Linked DNA regions of Arabidopsis thaliana. The protein of the gene in region 1 interacts with the protein of each later gene in a pairwise test. Each region holds a gene or a part of one and is shown in the gene's direction. Other genes may lie near its edges.

Region 1 (10,560 bases):
GTATCAATTGGTGGGGATCCCGTTCAACGGATTGTCATTGAGGTATTACCTCAACCTTTGCATTTTTTGCTTTGCTTTCCGCATTCAGCTTCTTAAGTTTTTTTTCATCTGTCAATGGCAGCTTTTTGCTGATGTTGTCCCCAAGACAGCGGAAAACTTCCGTGCCCTCTGCACAGGTACCTTGGGCTTCCTCATAACACTTTCTGCCATTTAATCTCTCCAGAATGCTTTGATAAGATTATGGGCTTTACATTTTATTGTTATGATGTTTTTTCCTTTGTGCAGGTGAGGCGGGCGTTGGAAAGTCCACTGGGAAGCCTCTACATTTCAAAGGATCATCTTTCCATCGGGTTATCAAAGGATTCATGGCTCAGGTATGTATGCATTATTCTTTTGCAACCCTGTAATGTCCTTCACTGACATATAATTTGTTTTTGTATGCATTTGATGGTTCGCAAACTCTTTATTCATTAGCGCTTCTCTTTCTTGCAGGGTGGTGATTTTTCCAATGGGAATGGTATTCTTCAAACCTGTTATCCTTTATACATTAAATCTCCAAACCGTATATATTTCTTTATATCACAATATGTGTGATGTAGATACCTCATGATCTAGTTTTTAGTTTAATTAACACACAAGGAGCTTAGTATATATGTTTATAGAATGAAATTGGTTACTAGGGAAAAGCGTATTGGGGTCCCTTTTTCATCTCTGAGACAACTTCTGGATGAAGTCTTTCTTGCTGTAATGCCTTAATTAGAGATAATCTCTCTGGTTGATTTGCAGGCACTGGTGGGGAGAGCATCTATGGTGGGAAGTTTTCAGGTATAATTTTGGTTTCTCTGTTTACGGCTTTCTGGTATTGATTTTTTTTTTCTCAATATCCCGTTATCCTTTTACAGATGAGAACTTTAGATTGGACCATGATGGAGCTGGAGTCCTTTCAATGGCAAATTGTGGCCCAAATACCAACGGGTCCCAATTTTTTATACTTTTTAAACGCCAACCACATCTTGATGGGTAATCTCTGTTCCTAGATTTTGTTGTTTTGAGAAATTCAAAGTTCATTGTAAAGGACTCTCAAAACGTTTAATGCATTTGGAAGGAAGCATGTTAAGGGTCCTGATTTTCCTTATCCTCATATTGTAGGAAGCATGTTGTATTTGGCAAAGTCGTTGAAGGGATGGCAGTAATCAAGAAAATGGAACTTGTGGGGACGAGTGATGGGAAACCTACTAGCCCAGTCAAAATAATAGACTGTGGTGAAACGTCTCAGATAAGAGCACATGATGCTGCTGAAAGAGAAAAAGGTAATGAAGTTAATCTTTGAATGTGGAGTTTCTATAATAATGATGGAGTTTCTAGAATAATGATGCAGATATATTTAATGTTTATTAGGGAAATCGAAAAAATCAAACAAGAACTTTTCTCCTGGTGACGTATCTGACCGTGAAGCTAAGGAGACACGCAAAAAAGAATCTAACGAGAAAAGGATAAAACGAAAAAGAAGATACTCTTCGTCAGATTCATATAGCTCAAGTTCCGACTCAGATTCAGATTCGGAATCAGAAGCATATTCATCTTCCTCCTATGAGTCTAGTTCTTCCAGTGATGGGAAGCATAGGAAGAGGAAGTCAACAACAAGACACAAAGGCCGACGCGGGGAAAGAAAGAGTAAAGGACGAAGCGGGAAAAAGAAAGCTCGGCCAGATAGAAAACCAAGCACGAATAGTTCAAGTGACACGGAGAGTAGCAGCAGTTCTGATGATGAGAAAGTGGGCCACAAAGCCATAAAGTCAGTGAAAGTTGATAACGCTGATCAACACGCCAACTTGGATGACTCAGTGAAATCAAGGTTTATCTCCCTGGCTTTATGTATTTCAGCTTTGCTTCTGCAATTTGGTGGTCTGATTTTGTGGTCACTGACAAACTTTGCCATTTTCTATTGCTATACAGGAGCAGGAGCCCAATTCGTAGGAGAAACCAAAACAGCAGGAGCAAAAGTCCTAGTAGGAGCCCTGTGAGAGTTCTTGGAAATGGAAACAGAAGTCCTAGTAGGAGCCCTGTGAGAGATCTTGGAAATGGAAGCAGAAGTCCTCGTGAGAAGCCAACAGAGGAAACTGTGGGGAAATCTTTCAGAAGCCCATCTCCAAGTGGTGTGCCCAAGCGCATCCGAAAGGGGCGTGGGTTCACCGAACGCTATTCCTTTGCTCGGAAGTACCATACTCCTTCTCCTGAGCGTTCTCCTCCTAGACATTGGCCTGACAGAAGAAACTTTCAGGATAGGAACAGGGATAGGTAACTTAATCTATACATACATACAACAAAGGACGATAGCTCTGCGGATAGTACTAAAGCCTCATTTTGTTTAATTATGTAGGTATCCGAGCAACAGAAGTTACTCTGAGCGCTCACCGAGGGGACGCTTTAGAAGCCCACCCAGAAGAAGGAGCCCTCCAAGGTTCGCTTTCTTATCTCTGTACAGATTCTGGCTTTGGCTTGGGACGATATAGCTTGTAAACCAGCACCTAGAGCCACTTGCATTAGATTTATATCCTAGAACGACCCTTTTTGTGATATTATTTTGGTTAAGCAAAACATTCTAATTGAATGCTGAAAGTTGAAAAGAGCAACTTTATAGCAATGTTGGATGTCCTCTGAAATTGAGTGTTGTCTTGCATAGGTACAACCGGAGGAGAAGGAGCACTTCTCGGAGTCCAGATGGGTACCGTAGACGATTGAGAGACGGAAGCAGGAGCCAGAGTCCGAGGCATCGTAGCCGTAGCCAGAGCCCTAGAAAGAGGCAGCCAATTAGCCAAGACCTGAAATCCCGTCTCGGGCCACAGAGATCCCCCATCAGAGGAGGACGCACCTCTCCTGCAGAATCACTCAGCCCTTCTCACTCACCTTCTCCACCAGGAAAGAGAGGTCTGGTTAGCTATGCGGATTGATGGTCACTCTCATCCATTGGTTTCTCTGCTGACTTGCGAGTTTTTGTTTTAATTTCCGTGTTTTAGTGCAAGCAATAATAGGTAATGATATTTTTTATGTTGGTCGGATATATAATACTCTACCTTAGTTGCATTATTACAGATCGTGGAACATTGATCAAATTGAGACTGATATATGTTGGCAGAATTGAGTTTGGGAATCGAAGTTTGTAGAAAATTTATCGAACAAGTAGCATAGATATCTCAACATGAAAATCTAGTAATACATGTAAAGAAAGAAGGTTAATGATATTCCGCATGTTCATAGATAGGACTCGAATCTTTCTTTACCACAAGAGGGGTTTACAATGATACAATGATCATGTCCTAGAAGAGAAGGATCAGATGGGTTGGTCTTTGGGAACGATCTGATCCTTGATCCACATGTAGATAGGGATTAACACAAACCAGGCAGCTGCTAGAGTTCCCAGGAGGAAGCGTCCCAAGAAGGAGAAGGGGTTGTTGACAGGCTTCTCTACGTCCTCTTCCTTTGGACCAAGCTGCAGCATTTGAGTGATAAGTTTAGTGTATCAAAGAGAGAAGAAAGTAAAAAAGGTGAAGTGGGAGGTAAAAGACCTGGAGAGGAGAGTCACCGGAGGCAGGTTTAACACCAGTGACAGAACATCCCATGATAAGGCCGTGCCTGCGAACACCACGGTACCACTTGGGGCCAATCCTCTTGAGCTGAACGTCCTTGAAACCGGCATTCTTGAACCACTCAATGTACTCTTCCTCCTTGGGGAAGAGCATCCAGACATCAGAAAAGAAGCGAGAGAGCCAGAAGGTTGGGTAGACAGGGCCGATGAGACACGCTTTGCCACCGATCTTGAGAACCCTGTACGCTTCCCTTATTCCCCTCTGCGGGTCCGGCCAGTACTCAATGCTGTGTGATGATGAGACACACAATCAAACCCACCGGAAAGAAGACGATTATAAGAAGAAGAAGAAGAAGAAGAAGAAGAAGAAGAAAAGGATACCTTCCAGCAGAAACGTATCTGTCAGCATAATCGGTTGGAAAAGGAAGATCCTCAGCATCTCCCTCGACGATCTTGCATTCTTTCAACGGCTCCTTTTGCTTTGCTTTGGCCAGCTGATGTGGCGACTGGTCCAGAATGGTCACATTCTTGGCCTTCACTGTCTTGACTATGCCCAGAGTAGTGAAACCAGTTCCGCCGCCGACATCGACCACTCGCATGTCCGGATGGCTGAGATCCGCTGGCTCAAGAGCGTCGTCTCTCATATCCTCGGTCCAATGCCCAGGATTGATGACATGGTCGTATACGATGGATAAGAACCTGTAGAACCAGTAAGCCTCCTTCTTGTGCTGAATGAACCTAGGTTGCGCCGATGGCCGGGAAGACGACACGCTGCTGCTGCTGCATCTAGTAGCCACCGAGAGTCTAGGTGTGGAGGTTCGGGTAACTGAGAGTAAGGTCGGCCGAGGAATCGATCTGGCATGCAAATTGGAACCAGGGGAACCTAAACCTTTGGGGAAGGTAATGGCCCCGTTGAGCATCAAAGAGGCCATCGATGACAGATCCACCAAGTTGAGAAGAGGGAAGAAGAAGCTTATCTATCACCAATTCTCCGCCAATCAAAAACACAAACGAGAATGAGAGTGTGACTAAACCCTCTAACTCTAACAGAGTCAGTACTGACTCCAACCACATGTTTATGTACGGTCACGTTGTTTGTTGCGACAACACATATCCCTTTGTTGAGCCCATGGGCTCATTTGCAAGAATTGGCCCAAATAATAGTATTGGGCGTTTTGGCATTTTTCTGCAAATGGAAGGGAAAAGTCGATTTGAGTCAGAGAGAGAGAGACTTCGACGACAATTCAAACTTGTACGGACTAAGACCAGACTCTCTCTGACGTTGTCAGATCTGCGACCTGCTAGCGAGAGGATGCGAGAGGAAACTGTGGTTTACGAGCAGGAGGAGTCTGTTTCTCACGGCGGGGGCAAGCACAGGATCCTTGCAGAGCTTGCCCGCGTTGAACAGGAAGTCGCTTTCTTGGAGGTAGCTAAACTAACTCGTATCTCTTTCAAATTCCGACGTAGGTCTCTCGTGGATAGCTCAATTATCCTTTTTAGATCAATTGTTACAACAATTAGGTAAAGGTCGCTAAGATTGTTTCCTGTGAAAGCAAAAACCAGTATGGCAGATCTGTTCCAATCAGAAGAGCATGGTAGTTCTCTTGACAATAAGTGGCACCATTTCAGTCAGTCTTGTTTATGACTCTATGAATTGTATTCCCAAAATCTAAATCTGCTGGGTTCTCTTTGGATCCACTATTGGAATGGTTCTCTGTTGATCTTATTCTTAGGGATGTGCAAGAATACTTTTGATCATAGTCCAATTAGTATCATTCTCTCTTGGTTATCATCTATCGAGGCATGTTAAAAGTTAACCTTCTCCCAAGTTTCTCTGTTGCACAGATAATGTGTTTGCCTATTGTTCCTACTAGTGAGCTCTAACACTTACTAAAAATAGCTTTACTCTCTCTTTCTGTTTCATGTACTATATCCAGAAAGAGTTGAAGGAGGTCGAGAACACAGATATTGTATCAACCGTGTGTGAGGAGTAAGTATGGGATACTCAACCTATGTTTTTTTTTAACGCTTGCAAGCAACTGTGTGCTAGCTCCTGTAGGTATATTATCTGGATTTGACTGAAACTTGTACGTTGATTGGTGATCAAATTGATATTCCCTTGGTTCGCAGGCTGCTATCTGTCATCGAGAAAGGACCCGATCCTCTGTTGCCACTGTGAGTGCTTTTTAAACCTTGAAACTCTAGTGTTGGTTTGGACTGAATAACTGATGGATGTTGTGGTGCTGGCAGAACCAATGGACCTTTGAACTTAGGATGGGACCGGTGGTTTGAAGGACCAAATGGAGGAGAAGGCTGCAGATGCTTAATACTTTGATTCGCTAGACAGAGTAATGTGTTACATATACTAGTTTCTTGCTAGGATATCATTTTACATGGGATCCAAAATGGGGCTGTAGCAGAGAAAAAGCGTACAGATTAATGAGCATTGGAATTGCATAGAACGGCTTAGTTGCACCTACGTAAACAGTATTATATGTATATGTAATGTATGGGATCCGGATCTGACATACGAGTAATGGAGTTTCAGGCTTACAGCTTCTCATCTTCTTATTCTAGATCTTGTTGAAAGAAGCTGAAATGTGCATAGTGATATTTGGGGGCTAATAGAGTAATAGCTAATGAGGAAGTGGGTACAATCTTGAAGACCGTTAAGTGTGTCTCTCTTTTTTCTTTTTAGATAACTTTTGGCCACATCCACCCTCCATGATACACACACGCTAGTTTCGAGGATCAGAATACATACATACCTATGTTTATTATATAGATAGAACGATAATGGAACACAGAGCACATGCCTCATCTGTTGTCTTTTTATTATTACTTATTACTCTTCTCCTCCACTTCTGTATTATTACAGTCTGTTAAAGTAGAACCCCCTTTTGTTTTTTTCTTTCTATGTCTCAAAAATTAAAACAAGTTATGAGGTTTAAAAAAAAAATTGAGAAATGTAGAGGGTATTAGTAGAAGTGATTTACGGTAAGTTTATTCGACAGCTAAAAAGATAGTTTATGCATTCCAAAATATTCCTCAAATTTGTGATGAGTAAACAAATACTGGTAAGGTGGGTTTTCTGACAACCTTTGGATATACAGTAGTATGTCATCTGTTTTCATTGCCTCATTGGTCAAGATCAAAGTTGATGACCTCATTAGAGCTCCTTCTTCTCCCATAAATAAAAAAAAATTGATCAAAGTTTGTAGTATGAATTTGTTATATAAACAGAAGAGAAATTAACACAGAGATGTGAGTTGGTCCAAAAGAAAAATGATTGAGCAGCCGGAAGAAGCACGTTACAACATCTGCAGCATATCTGGTCAGAGAGAGTACAGAAATATTGGGGATTCAAACAATTCACCTCGTGATGAAACCTGAACATTGAAACATGCATTATAGCCTCACTCACATGCTCACATAATGCCAAACCCTTTTTCTCTGTTCCCGCCTTGCTTTTTTTTTTCGTGGCAATAGAATACAATACATTGGTTGGGTGATTAAATAAAGAGAATGACTAGGATAAGTAAGTTAGCCGTTAAAGTTGTAAATCTCGAGTAAGTGAAGTGGTCCGTTTTTATGAAACTCATAAAAACGAAAGTCCCATGTCCCTAAAACACTAGTAGAATGTGGTAACGTATCTTCTTCACATTCACGTTTTCATATGGGAAACGAATGAAATAAACAATGCAAAACGCAATAACTTAATTAGAATCTTGAACTGGCCGATAAGTGCAACCGTAACGGAAAGCAGAGGCAGAGAGAGAAGAGAGAAGAGGGAGAGAGCTGCCTTGGGAATAGATAGAAAGAGAGCGTATCAACGGTGGTCATTACTTTATGATGGCATTCCCAACTTTGAAACTGCCACGTCGATGTCGGTCAACAGCGGGGTCCATATCTCCTCATCTTCCGTTCCATATTTTTTCCACGTGGCATTTTTCTTTCCTCTTGAAACAAGAATTCAGAATTGAATCGTAAACTCTGAACTAGAGTAAGTAAATAATGTATTGACTAGAAGAAGAAGTAAGTAGTACGGGCTGGGTAAGTAAAGATAATAAATATGCGGGGTTTGATCTTTACTTATTTATTAGGACTCAAACTTAGCCATTATTAACTCAAAAATCAAAATTACTCCTAAAACAAGCAGATAGGAAAAAACACAAATAAATAAAAAAAAGGAAATTGAATGCAGAGTTGTCAGAGTGTATTTAAAAAAGAAAAAAAAAGCACGTTAGGAGGAGTATCCTTTAGACTAGAGTAAGGGAGTGGGTGCTTTAAAGAAGCAGAGAAGCGGGAGAAGAGTGTGCAGCAGCAACAGCCAACAGAAGAAAATGGCAAAAGAGAAAGATCTGGAGAAGCAAATCGGCGGTTGCATGGCCGGCTTCTTCAACATCTTCGATCGCCCCAGTCTCCTCTCTCCTAATAAGCGTCTCTCTTCCTCTCCGGTAACTTGTCTATCTCTCTTTCCCTCTTCTCCTGTTCCTAGAGGGATGCAATGAATTGACTTACCAACAAAACAACAATGTCTGTGTTTCTCCAGAGCGCTGAATCTGAATCTGCCTCGGGTAGGACGAATCAGCAGAGTGTGTACTCTACCCCTGAGCTACGCTCTCCTGCGCCGGCTCAACAAAGATCTTCTTCTTCTTCTTCTTCTTCCTCTAGGCCTTGGAGGTTCTCTAAAGAAGCTCCGAGGCTCTCCCTCGATAGCAGAGCCGTCGTGGATGCCAAGGGCTGCCTCAAACACAGACAGATCCGAGCCGATGCGGTTGAGGCTGAGAACCAGCGCGGCTCACCCAGTGTGATCGCACGGCTCATGGGATTGGAGCCATTTCCCCAACAGCCTCTCCAGAGATCTGCATCCGAGTCCAGGGTCACCAGAGACTACATATTTGACTTTCACGATGACAAGGGAGCAGCTCAAGATCCGGCTCCAATTAGGAACGCCCGAGCCCACCCAACCTCAGTAGTACGCCGAAAGAGTTTCTTTGATTCCGGTGATTTCTTCCCGAGAGTTTCCAAAATGAGTGGATTTGACGCTCCCCCGACCGATCTGGAAACCCTCAAGCAGCTTCTCGAAGCTCTTAGGCTCAAAGGACTCTTGCACTCGTCTTCACTCAAACATCAGAGCAGGAATCTCGTCTTCGACCATCATTCTCCGATCAAACCAGTGAGGCGGGATCGCATTTCCCCGAGCGTCAATAGGAGGAGACCAAGACCAACGCTCAAGGAACAGAGGAGAGTCTCTTCACTCCCTTGGCGGAGACCAGAACCTCTCCAGACGAGGATTGAAGACCAGAGTAGCACTCTAGCCGAGGAAGAGGTACCTCATTCATTACTCGACATTTTATCTATCAAAAAGGCAGCTAATGAAATACAAATTCTGTAAGCAGATGTGGAAAGTGGATGTGTATAACAGACAAGGCAAAACCTTATTGGAGAGATGCGACAAGCTGCTCCACAGCATTGCTGAAATGGCCGCTGCTGAGGCCGGAGACTCACAACCGAGCCCCGTCTCTGTTCTTGACGCCTCAATTTACCACGAGGACTCTTCTCCGTCCCCCGTCCTGAAACGCACCCTTGACTTTGCTGATGCTGAAGAAGACGAATCCTGGGGTGGCTCAATATTATCATCGTCCGACTCTGAATATGTATACATCTCGGACATCCTCCGAGCCTCAGATTGCCTTCCACAAGAGTCCGACAGCTTCTCCTTTCTGGAAAAGCAGCAATACCTCAAAGGAAAATGCGCCTCCAGAGCCGCAGCTCAGGAAAGACGCCTCATCTTCGACGCAGTGCAAGAGATTGTGGCGCGGAGAAGGAGCTTGCCCCCGTGGATGATGGTAGGAGAGGCTGATAATAAGATGCAAGTGATCTGGTCTGAATTTCAGAAGATAAGAGACAAAAAGTCGTCCACGGAGGAAGATGACCTTGTGGGATACGTGTGCGGGGTCCTCGGAAGAGATTTGTCGGAGGACCGATGGCGAGATTTTCAGGTGGAGATGTCAGAAGCAGTTCTTGACGTCGAACGCCTCATATTCAAAGATCTCATCGGCGAGACCATACGCCAGTTGGCTTTTCTTAACAGGTCCGACTCGCTGCGTAGGAGGCTGCTCTTTTGATATAAAACTAGACTAAATTCTCTGACCCAAGTCTGAAACTAAACCCAACCTACGACCTATACCATGTCTAACCAAACATGCGAGAGTGATAGTTCTTTTGTGTGTTTTTTTGTGTGAAATGTGTGATTTATCAAGTTTGGGACTTGGCGCCTGTTGTCTAAAAGACTAAAACCATACACTCTTTTTTTTGCTCTTTCTGAATCAAACTGCTGCTCATTTGTGTGGTGTATTCGGACTAATAAAGACTTTAAAAGTGTTATGGGCTTCAAGTGGACCGTTTATCTCTAATCATAGTCTACTCCAACATTCATCTACTTCAGTAGTGGCCCATTCAGACCCAATAAGGCTTTTCGGCATTGACTTATATGAGCAGAGAGAGAAATATGCAAAAGATGATCAAAGAAAAACTTGTGATTTGTAATTTTCAAAAATATGCAAAGAAAAGCGGATCATACTCCAGTAGTCTTTTTCTTTGAAAAACAGAATCATATAATAATATCTTCCAAACTGTAAAAAGAAAACGAGAGAGGTAGACACAACACACACTTTTATTTTTTTTGAGGTGGAAAAAAAAACGTTAATGGGGGAACAAAGCCACGTGAAGGTGGGAAGAACGCACCAATTATAGTATAAGGTGACAAGTCAGCAGAGAGGTCACAGTCGTGGACCAATCCACTTCCAACACCACCATAGCCGTCCCTTCGACACTTTGGCTGACAAATGTTCAAAGGCATATTTTATATTGGGACCAAGATTTTGCTTGGGACAAGCTATGCCCCACGACTCTCCCGCTAGTGCTCTCTGGTCGCTTCTCCTCTGCTTCTAGAGACCAACCATTTCCAC
Region 2 (10,560 bases), on another chromosome or scaffold:
TTAAGCTTTAGAGAGGTTAGGGTTTCAGAATCGTAGTATACTACTACTCTATATGCTTTGTGAGGAACAGTTGTTTGTGTTATTGATATCTCTTATCTGTTCTTAAATCACTGTTTGTTGTTGTTGTTTTTGTTTTTTGGCTCCATTACATATGTATTGATATTGCTGTTCCTAATTGATTCTATTGCTGTTTTTGTAATGTAAAGAGGACATTGGAAGCTGGGAAATTGAATGAGAGAGTTCTGAGACTCTTTATGGCATCTGGAAACGAAGAAGTTCTTTCTGTTATCGACGCCCTCAAAATCAAAATCAACGTTTCCCCGATCCTTCCTACTCGTAAGTTTTTTAGTGTTACTCTTTTCCCCTTCTGATCTTTACATGTCTTCTTGAAGCTAAAAAGCTATCCTTGTTTCTGCAGGATGTGATGAGAAGTTTAGATTGCACGGGACTAGACGATAGGCGAAAGGTGAATGATTACGCGATGAGCGAGTTTGAAAACTTGGTCCTATGTGTTTAAAGGTCAGTTCCTGATTGCAGTATTCGGATCATTTAGGTAGAAAAAACAATGTGAACAACTGCAGAGATACATTACCAGATTGAAGTCTGTATTTTTCTTCTCTTTGTGTGTAAATATGAAACGAAGGCGGTCAAATTATATATAAGCTTCTTCTTTCTTCCGTTCTTATGAAGTTTTATGCAATCATAGAAGCTTCTTGTTTGCTGCAGAGTTCTGTTATAAGTTTCTACTTTTGATAGCGTGGTTATCTGAATTCCACCAAGTCCATTTTTCCTCTTACTATATAAATATCGAGTAATTTGGCTCGAGTTAGTTCGGTTTCTTTCAGGGTTGGTTTTTCTTGGCAGCCGATGAATTCTTGGATTCATCGAAGTAGCCATCAATTAGTAGGGGTTCAGGTTTTTGTTGAATTGTGCTTAGTAGTTTGGGATATAGTAGTGACCATATTGTCATTTTTAGTTGTTACAAGGCTCTGAAGTCTGAACCATATTATATATAGGAAGAATTCATCAAGGTGCGATGATATTTCTATCATTTGTTGAGATCAAACCTTCGATTTATACATTTTGGAATAACCAGAGTCGCAGTCTCACGTTTTCATACCTAATGATTTAGAGTGTTCACTCAATCTCCAAGTTAGAGCAGGCTAATTTCGGCAAAACTCTTACCTGCAAACCATTATTTGGTATATGTGAGTGTACATAAATTGTCACCGGAATTAAACCATCAAATAACTTGTCACAAGCACTTTTTCTGCATATCCGAATTCGATGATGTGAAGAAAATGGTTGTACCAATTTTCAATTGCACATATGTCTGTCATTTTCAGATTATGTTACATGTAAAAACCAAGTATGGTTATTATATTTTGTTTTCAAAATGAGAATCAAAATAATAGAAATCAGTAAGTATTTCTTATCATGGTAGTTTACTTTGATTGGTTATCTTATTCTGTGTAAGCTCTCGACGATTTTATTCATATTTTGAAATACTATACAAAAGTCATGATGTGTGTACATTTTCCATTAGGACTTTCTAGACTTGAGCATTATTTTCCTTGATAGCTTCATCGACGTTTAGGCCCTGAAATCCAAATAAACAAACTCATAATTAAAATCCTGCTTTTCTAAAGTAACAAAGAATATTAAGTGATAAAGATTGGGAGAAATAATTACGGAAAATAATCAATGTTAATAATCCCAGCGACAGGATTAGCGATCTGAGCAAAAGCTTCTCGAGAAAGATCGAGCGTAGAAGCACAGCCACTGGGACAATGGTCAACGATCTTGACCTTCACGGATTTCCCCGTGCAAGGGTGAGGCACGGCGTTACGAGGTCCGCTGCATTTCACGGTGAACATTTTGCCACAAACTCGACCATTGTCCCATAATGTATCACTCGCTGCAGCGATCATCACTCCTTCTTGAGTACCTCTGTAACATGCTGATGCTATCAAACATGAAATAAAAGAAAATGATTTTATAACATTTCGCTGTAGGTTGATATGAAAATGTATAAGATAAGTTTGTTGTTTGTATTTGTTTTATAATTTTGGTAGTAAAACACACAAAAATTCTTACGAGTGTAACTTGTGTAAAAAGTTGCAATCCCGGGAGTTGCATATGAGAAAGAGAAGAGAAAAACAAGAACGGTAGAAAAAAACACAATACTTTTACTCATGATTCGTATTTATTTGTAAGAGTGTTTATCTTTGAAATGTGACATATCTATTTATATATCTGCTATATATTATATGACTAACTCTAAATATGCATGTATTGTAATTGTTTGCCATTGAAATATCTTTGACTGTTCCCATTTTTTAACATGTGTATAGTTGTAAATTTGTTATATTTAATTTCTTCTTATCTGTGTTGACTAAAGGTTTAGAAAGATTGTTATCCTCATTTGATAGCAAATTTACAGCCAAAGACTCCAGAAAACGTTTACTAACTACGCTGATCAAATTTGCCACGTAAATTTATATGAACAATCTCATAAAAACAATTCATCAAAAGGAAAAAAACTCTCCTTTTATAGGTCCTAAATGTAGTGAAATCAATATTTATGGACTAGTACATATGGAACAGTTATGAGGCGAGCGTTAATGGGCCGAACGAGACGATAAGAGACATTATTCTAAACCAAGCTCAACCACGAAGATAACCGGATCATAACCGCAAAATGAACCGGAATAAAACGTGAGAAACAACGAGATAATATTAAAAATGATGCAAAGAATTTCTGAATGTAAAGGTAGGTATGGTGACATAAGGAATGGAGTTACCGAGGAAGCTGCCCTTGTCGGATTGTCCTTATCACTTCCCACTCGGCATTACCAGATAGGAAGCTCAGAGGACAGAGATAATAATTGGAACCCAAAACTGAACCCTATTTTATATAATCTCATCACCAATACTTTATCCTTAAATGAAGTCTGGTTTCGCCCTTTGTTTTCTCCTCTAGTTTTCTTGTAACGCCAAACTACATTCTGTATGATCAAAATTTAGTAACATAATTTATCAGAACCCCATTGTTTTAAAACGTGTCTGTGTATTTGTGTTTATATACGCTTAATCTTCTTCTTTCTAGTTAAATTTAATCAATTTAATGAAAAATTTGGTATATAAAAAAAAAGACTTTGCTCACGAGTTCCTCTCATAAGGGCCAAAACTAGTTAAAAAGTTATCGTCAAAAACTGATATAAAAAAGATGTCCGAATATTCCCGCATATAAATATCTATCAGACAAACTCTTTTGTACAATATACTTTGAATCCGATAAATTTTCGATCTTCAAAATCCATAAAAATCTCTCCTTTATTTAGCCCTAAAACAGAGTATTAGAGTTTGATTCGTAAAAGAGAATATTTTTAATCTCCGCCGCAAGTCGATGTCGATAACGATTCCCTACGATGGCTCAATCTCCCGCGAGCCATCACCGTCTCCACCGCCGCCAAAAGCGAACACGAAGAATCTACCGACGAAGATTCTCTCTAACTTCCTCATAGGTCTAATCATGATCCCTGTAGCTATAACCGCTTTTATCTTTATCCTCACGTCTCTCGGTTTCACCTTCTTCTTCGCTTTCTACTGGTTTCTTCAACGAAACTATCGCCACCGTCTCCGCCGCCATCGCCGTCACGAATACTCAGATGGGTTATCTCCAAGATGCGTGAAGAGGCTTCCTCAATTCAAGTATTGTGAGCCTAGTTCAGAGTACGGAGGCGATGATTGTGTTGTTTGTATCGATGGATTTAGACAAGGACAGTGGTGTCGGAAGCTGCCTCGATGTGGACATGTGTTTCACCGAAAGTGTGTGGACTTGTGGTTGATTAAAGTCTCGACTTGTCCGATTTGTAGGGATAGGGTTTATAGATTTGAAGAAGGAAGAAGATGGAGACCACAAGGTGAAATTTTTTGATCGGTGGTTTTATAATTAGATTTGAAAGTGTGTTTAGTTTGTTATCATATTTAGCAGCAATTTTGGTTTTCATCAATAGTCATGTACAGTGTCTTTTTTTTTTTTTTACACGGCTTCACAATTGAAAGCTTGTTTCTTCACCGTTTGATGAATTTGATCCAATAAGAGAATGATGGGTTTCTGTAGAATTTAACTTAGTTTGAGGTTTGATTATCATGCCAATTATTAAATTCAATCTAGTCAATTACTGATAGAAATGTTGTCCATTTGTCACTTTAAACATGTTGCTTATGTTACCTTAATGATTTCTCATAATTTCACTTGAGATTCAGTGGTTAATCATCAATGTTTCTGTTTCAATTTGTCCATGATGAAGTATAAGTTCTAAGTAAAGCTTGGTTCATGTGATTTTAATTTACCTACTTCACCTCCAAAGTTATGTCAACTATGTTTTCAAGTGTGTGATTCAAAAGTTTATATTGAACATAAAAATAAAGGAGGCTAAAGAATCGTTTTCTGATTGGAATGTGAGATTGTGACTCACACGGAGAAAGTGATTGTGATTGGATCTGACTATAAGACTAAAGAAGTGTTTTTGTGAAGTAACAAGTAACATTGTCTAATTAGTGTTTTGTATTGTAAACTAATAATGACTTTGATTAACGAAATAATGTCACTTTAGTCAAATGTGTTGACTTTCTTGTCTTATACCGATGGCTCAAGTATTCCCAAGAAAAAAAAACAAATATCCCTCCGATTTCTGACTCGTCCCGTGACTCAGTGATTCTCCTCTTCCAATCCTCTCCGGAAGAACTAAACAAAAACACGATCTTTCTCAGATTTAGAGAGAGTAAGAGTGAGAGAGTGTCAGAGACACGAATCAAAGAAATGATTTTTAAAAGCTTCTGTTAATTCTAATTTGCATAGATTTGTTTACTCGAGCTTGAGCTTGAGCTTCTTCTAATGGAGTTAAGGAAGGACAAGCTTCTTATGTAAGTTTTCTTTCTCTCATCCGTCGGTTAGACTTACGTTCCTGAAAGTCTTCAACTTTGATTGCCCAGAAATTAAAAATTCTAGACTTTGCTTTAGATTTATCTCTTCTTTAGATGTTACAAGCTCAAGCTCCGATTTTGGGTACTGGGTTTAACTTAAATCTCTAGTTAGGTTTCAGATTACAGATTTGAGTTGTGTATTGCTTTGTAGGTTTTACTCAGAGGGGAAAGAAAGCAAAGAAGCTAAATGGGCAGTGAATGATCCAATGAGCAAATCTTATAAGCTCTCTTTACCTTCAGCACTAAGACCTGATAATCTCTTACCTGGAAATAGACTTAGATACACTGATGCTTCTAAGTCCAAATCTTCTAAAGTCTCATGGTACAAGACTATTCTTGATCCAGGAAGTGAGATTGTCTTGAAATGGAATTGGGTCTTCATTGTCTCATGTATGGTTGCTCTCTTCATCGACCCGTTGTACTTCTTTGTCCCAGCTATAGGAGGAGATAAAAACTATCCTTGTGCAAGGACTGATACAAGTTTAAGCATCCTTGTTACTTTCTTCAGGACAATAGCGGATCTTTTCTACTTGCTGCACATTTTCATTAAGTTTAGGACTGGTTTCATTGCGCCTAATTCAAGTACTAGAGTGTTTGGTAGAGGTGAGCTTGTGATGGATCCTAAGGCTATTGCTTGGAGGTATATTAAATCTGACTTCATCATCGATCTCATTGCGACGTTACCACTTCCACAGATAGTTATCTGGTTTGTTATATCGACTACAAAAAGTTACCGGTTTGATCATAACAACAATGCTATTGCTTTGATTGTGCTCCTCCAATACATCCCAAGATTCTATTTGATAATTCCGTTAAGTTCTCAAATTGTTAAAGCAACTGGAGTTGTTACAAAGACTGCTTGGGCTGGAGCTGCTTATAATCTTTTGCTATACATGCTGGCTAGTCATGTATGAATCCCATTCCTTCTTCTTCCATTATTTCATTCCTTAAATGTGATGATAATCAAAGCTACAATGTTTTTGTTGGGACAGGTGCTTGGTGCAGCCTGGTATATATTATCGGTTGATAGATATACATCGTGCTGGAAATCAAGATGCAATGGTGAAGCTGGCCAAGTTAATTGTCAGCTATATTACTTAGACTGTGATTCAATGTATGACAATAATCAGATGACTTGGGCAAATGTCACAAAAGTGTTTAAACTCTGTGATGCACGGAATGGCGAGTTCAAGTATGGGATCTTTGGGAATGCAATCACGAAAAACGTTGTGTCTTCACAGTTCTTCGAGAGATATTTCTACTGTTTGTGGTGGGGATTGCAGCAGCTTAGGTAATGGCAGAGATCATAGAAATTTTTTGATACCAATTATTACTCTCCTTTTGATTACAAGTTTTAGAATCTGATGACATTTTCCTGTTATTGTCATATTCTAGTTCTTATGGACAGAATTTGTCCACGACCATGTTCATGGGCGAAACCACATTTGCTGTTCTCATTGCAATCTTTGGTCTTGTCCTCTTTGCCCATCTCATTGGGAATATGCAGGTATGGATTCCTGCGTTAGGATAAGTTCTAAAAGTATCTGCTTTTGTTCTTATGTTTCTTGGGTTTTGCCTTTTGTTTGTTAGACATATCTGCAATCTTTGACTGTACGGCTTGAGGAATGGAGATTGAAGAAGAGAGACACTGAGGAGTGGATGAGACATCGTCAACTTCCTGAAGAGTTGAGAAACCGTGTGAGGCGATATGAGCAGTATAAGTGGCTTGCAACAAGAGGAGTCGATGAAGAGGTTCTCCTGCAAAGTTTACCCACTGATCTTCGCCGTGATATTCAACGTCACCTATGTTTAGATCTTGTTCGAAGAGTAAGTTTTTCTATTGATTTGTTTATCCTACAAATGGTTCAACTTTTAGGTTAACTACTATCTTGAATCATGCAGGTCCCATTTTTCTCTCAAATGGATGATCAGCTGCTTGATGCGATATGTGAGCGCCTGGTTTCTTCTCTGTGTACTGAAGGGACTTACCTTGTACGTGAAGGTGACTTGATCTCAGAGATGCTCTTCATCATCAGAGGTAGACTCGAGAGTTCCACAACCAATGGAGGCAGAACCGGTTTCTTCAACTCGATTATACTTAGACCTGGAGATTTCTGTGGGGAAGAGCTTCTTTCTTGGGCTTTGCTTCCAAAATCAACCTTGAATTTACCATCTTCTACAAGAACAGTTAGGGCTTTAGTTGAAGTCGAAGCATTCGCTCTTCGAGCTGAAGATTTGAAATTTGTTGCAAATCAGTTTAGGCGGTTACACAGCAAGAAGCTTCAACATACATTCAGATTCTACTCTCACCATTGGAGAACTTGGGCTGCTTGCTTCATACAAGCGGCTTGGCGCAGGTACAAGAGAAGAGTTATGGAGAATAACCTCACTGCGATTGAATCAATGGAAAATGAAGAAGGAGAAGTAGGAGAAGAATTAGTAGTAGTAGAAGAAGAAGAGTGTGTTGAGGAGAGTCCTAGAACAAAGATGAACCTTGGAGTTATGGTTTTGGCATCGCGTTTTGCAGCTAATACAAGACGCGGTGTTGCAGCTCAGAGAGTTAAGGATGTAGAATTACCCCGGTTTAAGAAACCCGAGGAGCCTGATTTCTCTGCTGAGCATGATGATTGACTGATGTATAACCAGGAGAAGAAGCTGACTTTGTTCCATAGAAGATCTTAATGACAAGAACACTACAGAGTAAGTTTCCTGTTCCTTTGGGAGACATAAAGAAAGAAACTCAAGGCGGGTTTTGGTTTGTACACTTAAACATCTTTTGTAATATAAGCTTGGAGAATTAGTTTTGTTGTACTATTAAAGAACTCGTTTCTAAATTCTCTAAATGTAAAGATGAGGAAGTTGAAGTGGATTATGTACAAATCACATCAAACCTTGCAAAATTGATTGAACCAACAAGGAAGTAAAAAGATGTCTAAGCCCATTCGTCAAAGCCCCTATATGCCGTGGTTACTGACTTACTGTAACGTTGAGAATAAGATGGTAAAGAAAGAAAAAATATATTTTCTTGAGCATGTTGCATATTGCTATCGACACAAGCTTCTTTTTAAAGAAAGGTAGACTCACTTAATCAATAGACATAAGATCATACTAATGATGAGTTTGGACTTTGGTCCATGGGAAAAAGTTAAAATGTTTACTTGCTTTCTCTACTGACCTAGATATGTCGGATCAAATCATAATCTACATTACAGGATTACATACATATTTGGGATTTTTCTTTTTGCAATATGGCCACAAGACCAGCTCAATGTAATCATGGATTCTTAGTCGATTTAAAAAGTTGTAAATATTTTAAACTAACATATTGAAAAGTTTCTGAAAATTTCTTGTCCCATATAATATACAAATAAATTTTATGGTCTTGAATGACAATAACAATATAGTATGGCACAAGAAGTTAGATTGAACGGAAACTGAATCATGAAAACAATGGTTTTCAACAATCATAATTATAGTAACATATATTAATATTTTGAATCGTTTATTAATATGTGAAATTTTTAAACATGCATGCATATATTAAGAGATGACATAGTAGTTGTACCTTATAGTGTGTAGTTGCTCACTAGAGAAGTTAAGTTCATGTCCCCTTTCCAAAAAGCTCAAATTCAACATTAGGTTTCAATCATGTAAGGTTGAGATCCGCGACCCCTTTTAGTTATAACATAATTTAATACATACTTATATTCGTAAATCATTATCTTCACATCCTTTTCATGCCTATAATTACAATAATTAAAAGAGAAAAGGCTAGAATATATATTAAACAGGAAATAGGTCTTTGAGTAAAGTTGCAGCATTTGCTACATTATTTTATTTTCCACTTGAAGACTATTCAATTACACTCTCACATTGATGATATTATGAGTTTCTTTTTGTCACTTCAAGATCAAGTATTGGCATGGTGTATGATGAATCTTTCTGTGAGATAAATTGAATCTAATTTAATATTTAAGAATTTTCAACTACTATAGTGTCCAATAGCTTAATCTTTCTCACTTTTGACAGGATATATTTAAGTAAGAAAAAATATTTAACTAAGTGAGGAGGCATAATGCAAATCCACCAAAAAGATAGAAAGAGAGAGACCATAAGGTCCATTTATATAACTAAATAATTGAATGATATAAAGGCATGTTTTGGTTTGTCTTCTCCTTGTTCTAGTGCTTCTCTTTGGCAAAAATCCTTTATTTCAAAATAATATTAAACTATATCCCCTTAATAATTTGTTGTCAATAATTAGGTTATCAGTTGCTTTATTTCAAACAAATCCGTATTTTTTAATACTTGAAAAGAATTGGAGATGCTTTTAGTTATGTATAAACAAAGTACCACAAAACTTCAGCCTTATCTTCCACTCATAGAATATTACTAATAGTATGTAATATCTAAAAAGGCGAAGGAAGTAAAAGGCAGTTTTGGAGGCTTTGTCTTCAAGTGTCTAGCAGAGAACCGGAGTTATACGACCTGTAAAAGCCAAAAATAAAACACGACTATTGCATCAACTTGTTTCAGTAATTCAAAATATATATCAAAAAAAAAATTGTATACTTAATAAGTCGTCTAGAAGACTTTCAAACAAATAAAGACATGTACTTAAAATCTCGAAATTATTTACTGTGTCGAAAATTGTCTTTCATCAATTAGATTTAGATGTACTATGCAGCCACTACAATATTGAAAATTTCATTAAAAACATATATATATATATATATATATATACGTAGGCATATGGACCATGTGAATTCACTAGGCATGCATGTAGTTGTTAAGTGGTAGATTTAGATATTAATGTCCAATGCATATGAATCCACTTATATATATGAAAGAGAATGTGAATACTCCTATCATATTAGCTATTAAAGAAACTCGCTACACTGAAAAAGGGTAAAAAATAATTCGTGATGACATATGATTAACTTGAAGATGTACCGATCGAATCAATGTAATTTAAATTCGATCTAGCAGTCTAAATTGAACTTGAAAAGCCATGGCGTCATGTATAGTATAGATCACTAGACCAAATGTCGTAGTCGTTTATTGTTATCATACGTTTAGTTAGGTTTAAATTTATTATCGGTAGTTGACCGATTTGTAGGTTGAAGCTTTGAAACAATGGTCATCATAAATGATAAATTCAAAGTATGACCCCAAGAGCACAAAAGGAGTGATCACTACGTGTGGTCCGATCGCTTTACATTTTGAATTTTGAAACATGTTTTGGTCAAACCGGTTTGGTGGTTTTCAACTTTGTTTTGATCTCCCATTTCTCTAAATCGCGTATTGACCAAATTGACACTCAAAGACGACTAATTTCCAGTGAAATTAAAACCCCAAATATCAAGATGTTATTCAAGATCCTAATATGAAGTCTATGAATTATATCAAAAAGGTTGACTTTAAAATCTAGATGCTTCAAATCCGATAACACTGGACAAAACAAAATTGGTAGATATAGATGGCGTAGATCAATTTAAAACGTGACTAAATGTGCATGTCATTATTTTTCTGGTGTGTTGATTTCTATTAAAAAAAGAGAGCAGAGAT

The links. The genes of interacting proteins can lie anywhere in the genome.
Region 2: the proteins of GG1 (region 1) and CNGC17 interact in a protein complementation assay, tested with the Arabidopsis thaliana proteins (one large-scale study listed by BioGRID).

Annotation. Positions count from the first base shown.
Region 1 is NC_003074.8:23,412,485-23,423,044, forward strand, and holds GG1 (Ggamma-subunit 1), read left to right. Parts: upstream 1-4,764; 5' UTR 4,765-4,778; coding exon 4,779-5,012; intron 5,013-5,523; coding exon 5,524-5,576; intron 5,577-5,716; coding exon 5,717-5,761; intron 5,762-5,836; coding exon 5,837-5,921; 3' UTR 5,922-6,497; downstream 6,498-10,560. Other genes in the region: AT3G63400 (Cyclophilin-like peptidyl-prolyl cis-trans isomerase family protein), read left to right, coding at 1-42, 122-176, 286-374, 493-517, 787-825, 903-1,020, 1,150-1,310, 1,399-1,855 and 3 more; APG1 (S-adenosyl-L-methionine-dependent methyltransferases superfamily protein), read right to left, coding at 3,332-3,490, 3,567-3,873, 3,968-4,518; TRM5 (zinc finger CCCH domain protein), read left to right, coding at 7,930-8,043, 8,139-8,918, 8,989-9,717. UniProt on the Arabidopsis thaliana protein: Guanine nucleotide-binding proteins (G proteins) are involved as a modulator or transducer in various transmembrane signaling systems.
Region 2 is NC_003075.7:14,852,123-14,862,682, reverse strand, and holds CNGC17 (cyclic nucleotide-gated channel 17), read left to right. Parts: upstream 1-4,663; 5' UTR 4,664-4,903; coding exon 4,904-4,932; intron 4,933-5,143; coding exon 5,144-5,900; intron 5,901-5,984; coding exon 5,985-6,283; intron 6,284-6,387; coding exon 6,388-6,499; intron 6,500-6,582; coding exon 6,583-6,819; intron 6,820-6,894; coding exon 6,895-7,623; 3' UTR 7,624-7,989; downstream 7,990-10,560. Other genes in the region: AT4G30390 (UDP-arabinopyranose mutase), read left to right, coding at 207-336, 419-459; AT4G30380 (Barwin-related endoglucanase), read right to left, coding at 1,594-1,600, 1,693-1,966, 2,098-2,197; AT4G30370 (RING/U-box superfamily protein), read left to right, coding at 3,410-3,940. UniProt on the Arabidopsis thaliana protein: Probable cyclic nucleotide-gated ion channel. Forms a functional cation-translocating unit with AHAs that is activated by PSKR1/BAK1 and possibly other BAK1/RLK complexes. Required for PSK-induced protoplast expansion.